2 linked regions of the Nothobranchius furzeri genome follow. The protein of the gene in region 1 interacts with the protein of each later gene in a pairwise test. Links are inferred from orthologs where the notes say so. Each region holds a gene or a part of one and is shown in the gene's direction. Other genes may lie near its edges.

Region 1 (3,818 bases):
TGAAAAAAACAAGAGCTCTCCGCTGCTCCTTTGTCACTCAACAGAGAGAAGGAGAAAAACCTCTCGCTCTATAAACTGCGATAACGCAATACTCGCGAACCGAGTCGCTACTTTTGGCCCTTCTTTAGAGAAATAAATCTAGGGATGAAAAATCTGTAAATCTAGCCAAAAAGACAGTTGGAAAAACAGAAGTGGAACTGGAACTGAAGGGGATTATGCAATCTGATTGGTTGGAAGCGTCATGTGGGGCGCTGTGCCAGCTAGATGCAGAAATTAAAGGAGAAGCGCTACAGCCCAATATTGCCCAAAATGTTTAATCCATTTGTTTATCCACAAGGATGGAAAATTATTTTCCAGGACAACTCAAAAATTTCCAGGACATTTTGCAATTCCCCCCATTTTCCATGTGTTTTCCATGACTGGAAAATTGGACTATCATTTTCCAGGTTTTCCAGGACGCGTGGGAACCCTGTTAACTTTTAGTTTAGGTTAGTGTGTGTGTGTGTGTGTGTGTGTGTGTGTGTGTGTGTGTGTGTGTGTGTGTGTGTGTGAATAAACAGCTGAACATCAAAATAATTATTGTAAAATTTTGGGCTCTAGCTCTGTTGACCAGCTTGAGGTGCACGTTTATGATCAAGTGGTGTTGCTTCCAGCTGTAAACACGGAAATATGGAGAGGGGCTTAAAAGAGAAATATATTTTTCTGCCTCTAGATGGTGCTGTCTGGGGAAAAAAGTCTGGATTTTTGCTTTCAAGTAACACTCAATATGTTTCCCACCTCTCCGTTCTACTGGTTGAAAGCAGAATTAAAGCTGTCGTAAACAACCCTGCTGCAGCCTCTTATGCTAACTCGAGCCAACTAATACTAAAACGTGAAAAAATCCACTTTGGGACAAAAAATGTTTTTACTTTCAAGTCCAGTAGGAAGAAACCCAGGTCACCATCAGTCTGTGACATTGTAGCCTCCTTCAGCTCCCTGAAACGAGTTTAGGCTGCGCCGATGTTCACTCTTTGAACATCTTAGGTGTGTTCTTGCTGTGCGTTATTTCTAATTCCATGTTGTCGTTCTTTTTTAAAGCACAGAAACAGTTTTGTTACCTGTTGTTGACGCTACGTTTCGCCGACAGCTGCCGGCTTCTTCAGGCTGACGCTGAAACGTAGCGTCAACAACAGGTAACAAAACCGTTTCTGTGCTTTAAAAAAGAACGACAATATGGATGTTCACTCTGGTTTTAGCCCTTTGCTTCTCCTCCAAAGACTTCTTGTGCTTGTTATTGACAGTCGGGGAACTATAAAAGCTAACTGCTAGCCTAAATATTAGCTACCAGCACAGTAAACAGCTATTGCTGTAAAGCAGGTAGAGACTTCTACAAAACTGTTAAGTGCAGAGGGCTATGGAGTGCTGTCCAATTTAAAGTTGGTCTAGTTTCCGGCTCTAGAGCGATACTGGATCCAGTTTGAAAGCAGTAGCTTAAGGTTTTAAAAACTCTTTAGTGTTTCTATATTTAGCTGTTGCACCAACTGAGTTCCTGTCTCCTCTAGCTCCCTCTGCTCCTCCTGTGAACGGGAAGATGCACCCAGCTCAGTCAGCAGAGGAGGCCACAGAAGCAACAGAAGTTCCTGAAACTACTCCCAACCACACAGAGATGAGATCCGGACCCCCGGGACCCTTCACCGAGCATGTCTTTACAGATCCTCAGCCTCGTCTGGCAGATGACAGGTACAAGTCTGTCTAAGCACAAACTAGTCATCAGAACTCCCTTCATGCTCACGTCTATCCACACAGGAGCACAGGTCAGTCCAAAGAGGAGGCGTCCCAACCCACAGAGTCAGAGGACGGAGGGGAAGAGACCAAAAACTATACCAGTGTTGCCCCCACCATGTGGCTCGGGGCCCAGAATGGCTGGTGAGTCTCTACAGTAAAACATTTTAGAGCCTTTAGGCTTTCCGGGTCTGTCAGGAATTTTACTTTTCTTCTAGGCTCTATGTCCACTCGGCTGTTGGAAACTGGAAGAAGTGTCTCCACTCCATCAAACTGAAAGATTCCGTCCTCAGCCTGGTGTAAGACAAACAAATCTGAACTCCTGCGTGATGAGTCACCAATCAGCTAGCTGGAGATAAATATGGTGAATTTTGGTTTCTGTCTCTGCAGACACGTGAAGGGTCGGGTTCTGGTGGCGCTGGCCGACGGGACGCTCGCTATTTTCCATAGATCAGAAGGTGGGAGGATTAGGGATTTTCTGTTTCGGAGGTTTCTTTTGTAATTAATCCATGCTTCATGGAACCTGAAAAAATATCTTTTTTCTCAAAAACTTTTTAAATGAAGTTCCATGAATGCTTTTGGGTTTAGGTTTTATTTCATATACTGTAGGTGTGACCTCCTGCTGTTCAGAGACATAGGTTTTGCTTTAAAAGTGTGTTTTTTTTCTTCCACAGATGGCCAGTGGGACTTGTCCAATTACCACCTCATGGACCTGGGTCGTCCTCATCACTCCATCCGCTGCATGGCTGTTGTCCATGATAAAGTGTGGTGCGGCTATAAGAACAAGATCCATGTCATCCAGCCCAAAAGCATGCAGATCGAGGTGAGTCTCTGACAGGTGGAGCATCAGCTGTTGATGATTCCCTTACCCACCCAGTCCTGTTCTGGTGTCGTAGAAGTCCTTTGACGCTCACCCTCGCAGGGAGAGTCAGGTGAGGCAGCTGGCGTGGATCGGTGACGGTGTGTGGGTGTCCATCCGACTAGATTCAACACTGCGACTGTACCACGCGCACACACACCAGCACCTCCAGGACGTTGACATCGAGCCATATGTCAGCAAGATGCTGGGTCAGTTTGTGTAACCAGCTGATTTTTACGGGGACTTGAAAAATCTTTACTGGTTTAGCTGTCGTTACACTTCGCTGACTCTGATTGTAAACCTCAGGTACTGGTAAGCTGGGATTCTCTTTTGTTCGGATCACGGCCCTCCTGATTGGTGGAAATCGTCTCTGGGTGGGAACCGGAAACGGTGTGATCATCTCCATCCCGCTGACAGAAAGTGAGTGGAGTTACGCAGCAGAATATGAAATCGAACTTTTTTTATCAAGAGATTAATCAAAGCAGGATTATATAAATATAGTTCTGCCTTTACTCAGAACAATCTGCGATGAACTTGTCTGATTATTAACAGCTCCTGGAAAACTCATGCATTATAAAAATATAATTCAAGTTCAAAGGAGGTTTTTTTTTTTTTTACATTTCCATGTTGTTGGAAAAAAATATTTGCTATAAAACACATTTCTGTCTGTGGCTTTCCGTAGGATCATCATTAAAGGGGCATTATGGAAGTTTGACAGCCAAAACATGTATAGAAATAATAAATTTCTTCTTCATACATTCTCCTGCAATGCCCTGGTCCGGTAGAATGAGCCCTGGCATTTTACTGTGATTGCCTGTTTTTCTGTAAAATCACAGAAAAAGAGAGCTGCTCGGGTCGAGCAGGCTGCTTCATGCGCGTTCACGCTCAGGCATAGCCCTCCGAACCATTCGTTGAACGTTGTTTCAGCTGTCATCAAGAATATAAATGTTACAGATGGTTTAGCTCGCCTGGTAAGATTTGGGGCTTTTGTGCAGAAGTCCCGGGTTCAGTTCTGAATGTGAACATAGTTATTTTAGAGTTTCTTTTTTACATTAATGGTATATTTTTTTACAGTAAGATGCCCAAATTTTTATTTGAGACTCGCCGAACGGCATTGAATTCACAGATAAAAAAAGATGTGGGTCCAACTTTCATTTTGGAACAATTTTTTAAGCAAGGGAAGGGAATGATCTGAGCA
Region 2 (3,818 bases), on another chromosome or scaffold:
GAGGATTGGGACGTAGATCGACCGGTAAATCGAGAGCCTGGCTTTCTGCCTGAGCTCCCTCTTCACCACGACAGATCGGCTCAGCGTCCGCATCACTGCAGACGCCGGAGGAGCTGGTGGAGGTGGCCGGGGAGAGGACAGTCTGGAGCTCCCTAGTTGGGATGCTGCCCCCGTGGCTCGGACCCGGATAAGCGGAGGAAGACGACGACGACAACCTCAGTTCCTTGGATTTGAATTTGAGATCATGTCATGTTGAGAACATGAGAACATGACATGATCTCAAATTGATGTAGGGTGGACAGTCATGTCCTAAAAGTAAATGTGCAGTTTCACATAATATTACAAGAGCCTGTATAACCAGTGCTGCTGCCACTCCAGTTTGCAACCCGAATATCTGTAAAACTGACTGGGTTTTAGCTTTTTTCAGGTCTGACTCGTCTGAAAAAGCCTTTTATATGTTAATGAGCGTGTGTGTGTGTGTGTGTGTGTCTTCCTGCAGAGCTTCCAGAGAACTGGACAGACACGAGGGAGACCCTGCTGGAGGGCATGGTGTTTCACCTCAAGTACCTGGGGGTCACGATGGTCGAGCAGCCCAAAGGCGAGGAGCTGTCTGCAGCAGCTGTCAAGAGGATAGTGGCCACGGTGAGAGAGGACACACACACACACACACACACACACACACACACACACACACAATAGTGTTCTATTAATATGACTTCCCTCAGAAATGAGTTTCTGTCAAGCATTTATAATATTTTCTCCACATCATCACCTCGGCTACGCAACAGTCGTCCAGTAGTTTTCTTCTGTAATGACTCGACCAGTGGAAGGTGGCTGGCCTGCAGCTCAGGTTGACATTTTAGGCGAGTTAGCGTGGACTCTGCCACTTGCCGAGTGTCTGAGCGAGCTTCATCACGGCAGAGAAGACTTAATGTTACTGGATCTGGTGGAAAATGCAGCAGCATAAAGGTGGAACACGATGATGCATGAAGGGAGATATAAAGACTAATCTCTCTCTGAAGAGGATTACAGAGGACTTGGTGTGTTTGCTGTCGTTCTGATTAATAGGTGAGATTACATCATGGTAGAATCCTTGTTTTATCCCTTAAACTTTGTTTTTGTTAATGTCAGACTTGGATGCATTGGAACTCGATAACTTCAGTACACCTCTGTCATCTCTGTGGTCTGAACGGGCCTGAATGGCCCATTCAGGTTGTTATTTTCAGTCTGATTTAGTTTCTTTTGTCTTTCTGTCTTCTCAGTCCAAAGCCAGTGGGAAAAAGCCGCAGAAAGTGACGCTATCAGTGTCCCCGCGTGGAATCATCCTTTTCGACAGTGCCTCAAACCAGATGATGGAAAATATCTCCATATACAGGTCAGTTATTCGCCGTTGCCCCCTCTCGCGTGGTGGTTGTGTCTGTCAAACGGAGCCACCTGGAGTCTAGAACCCACCCACACTAAAACAAAAGCTGTCCATCTTGTCTTGCTTCCATTTTTCACCCGACGGACGTGTGGCATGCTAAGTTGATGCTGCTGAAGAGAGGAAGATGAGCCGATTCCTCCCTGGAGCCCAACAACAGCTGCATGTCTGAGCTCTGACCTGCAGCTTCATAGACTCCCACATTAGTCTTGTTTTATACAGATCTATCTTACCTGCCTCAGCCTGCAGGCTCGTCTTTCTTCCTCTAAAGCTCATGATCCAAGCGGGAATCACTTTTTCACATTCCACATTTATGAGTTTGCCTATGAAGGAGAGATCTGGGCGTTCCATCATTTTCTAAGGATGATTAGGCTTAAATGCTGAATTTGTCCTGATAAAAATGTCAAATTAAGGACTTAAATTTCAGCCTGGGATGTTTTTCTGAAGTTAGCGACCGACAAATTGACTTTACTGATTTCTTGGTTTATTTTACAGAAATCTAAAAGTGAACTTCTGCTTCTCTCAACTGTGTTGAATAAGAACGTTCTTCTGTTTTAAAGATCTCATTCACTGAGGAACCGTGTAATACCCGTTGTTTTTTAAATAAGAACAGTTTTTTTAAAGCACTCTAACCCTCATCGCCTGTGTTTGCTGCAGACAGGAAGTAGATGGGAAAACGACTGAGTCAGAACAAGCCAGAGGGAATAATGCATTCTTGGCCTCGTTCCTCAGCTTGTGACCAGCTAGCTTCTGCTAGCTACTAGCAATGCCGCAGCATGGCGAAACACGTTCAGGCTTGGGTTATTTGCGGAGATAAAACATCAACATTGCATTTTTTTTATCCAAGACAAGAACGAGCAAAGCCTGGAGGGGACCTGTGTTTATTTATCCAAGTTTACAGAGTGTAAATCGGGTTTGAGTCATATCCAAAAACACCAAAATAAACTTTTGTTTAACAAATCCATTTTCCTCTTATGGGAGCAACAGCTGCATGTCTGACCTTTGACCTCCAGGTTCATATGGACTGTTAGTCCAGCATCCATCCACTCACAGAACAACATACTTGAACTCTTTTGCTTGAGGCTGGGATGGGTACCAAATTCAGTACTTTTTAAGGCACTGACCGAATTCCACAGTACCGACTGAGTACCGATTCACGTCATATGAAACAGTGCCTTTTTCCAGTACCCGTGCTGCGCGCCGGCGCAAGAGCGTAATGTCGTCAGTCACTCTGGGTTAGCTGTAAACAACGCCACGGCAGAGAGGAAGCGTTCTGAAGTTTGGGTCCACTTCACTAAATGGAATGGGTACCTGGGTGATGATGAAACCAGCAACAACGATCTAAGTGAGACGTCATCATCTTAATCTGCTTCGGTAGGTAAATAAAACGTTTAAAATAATGTTAGCTTGAAATGTTGGCTTCCCTTCAGCTAATGTGCTTTCACATTTTCCTCGGAACTCCGAAATTCCGACTAGAAGAAAGCAATGGTGCTCTAAAGTTTGGCTTCACTTCACTGATTGCGATAGGCTGTTTGGTGATGTTGAAACCAGCGACAACGATCTGAGTGCGAGTCTTCTTAATCTGCTCCAGCAGCAAAATAAACTGTTTAAGATAACGTTAGCTTGATAGTTTCATTTTTGTTTACATAGCTAATGGTGCGTTCGCTTTCTCCTCGGAAATTCCAACCTCCGAGTAGGAAAAATAAACCGTTTGAAAATGAACGGCCAAAGGAATGAAGATGCACAGTAAATTTAGTTCACAGCAAAGATGTTTCCTTCACCTTCAGATCGGAGACATGGAATGGAGTCAAACTCCATCTGGGAACCAGCTCAACCTAGTAGCGCTTGCTTTGGTTGTTCAGGGATTAGAGATTCCTTAAAACAGACCCCAGTACCTCATACTGTTCAGCAGTCGGCTTTTCCTCATCACAAGGAGTTAGTTGAGGTGTGTTGGGTATCTGATTACCCATCTGCTCACCTTCCTCTGGAGGTTTCCTGGGAGTGTCTCATTGGGAAAATCCCTGGGGCAGAGCAGGAAGCTTTAAGAGGGACTATAGATCCTGTATGACCAGGAAAAGCTTTAGGATCTCCCAGGAGGAGCTGCAAAATCTCAAAAGTTAGACCTTGGAAAAGTGGGAGACAGTGGATGGATGAAAGGATGGAAGAATGAAACGATGGACAGATGGATGAAAGGATGAATGGATGATTTCCTCGTAAATGCAACACCTCTTGAACCAACAACTAAAACTAAACAACTAAAAGATTGAAAACCCATAAGAACTGTTCTGGACTCCCGGTTCCCCCAACCAGACCTTTGGTGTTGTTCAGACCACAGCTGTGACCCCCTCCCTCTCTCAGCATGCCTTCATTTGTTCATCTGTAAATAAATACATAATTA

Evidence for each region.
Region 2: the proteins of mapk8ip3 (region 1) and ldlrap1b interact in binary tests that used the Homo sapiens proteins (3 or more experiments, as listed by UniProt). The two-hybrid records come from large-scale screens. The link is inferred for Nothobranchius furzeri from reciprocal best matches to the Homo sapiens genes MAPK8IP3 and LDLRAP1.

The regions. Positions count from the first base shown.
Region 1 is NC_091752.1:51,058,713-51,062,530, reverse strand, and holds part of mapk8ip3 (C-Jun-amino-terminal kinase-interacting protein 3), read left to right. Parts: intron 1-1,541; coding exon 1,542-1,719; intron 1,720-1,785; coding exon 1,786-1,905; intron 1,906-1,979; coding exon 1,980-2,060; intron 2,061-2,151; coding exon 2,152-2,219; intron 2,220-2,435; coding exon 2,436-2,584; intron 2,585-2,657; coding exon 2,658-2,829; intron 2,830-2,926; coding exon 2,927-3,040; intron 3,041-3,818.
Region 2 is NC_091758.1:35,449,575-35,453,392, reverse strand, and holds part of ldlrap1b (low density lipoprotein receptor adapter protein 1b), read left to right. Parts: intron 1-499; coding exon 500-642; intron 643-1,262; coding exon 1,263-1,375; intron 1,376-3,818. UniProt on the Homo sapiens protein: Adapter protein (clathrin-associated sorting protein (CLASP)) required for efficient endocytosis of the LDL receptor (LDLR) in polarized cells such as hepatocytes and lymphocytes, but not in non-polarized cells (fibroblasts).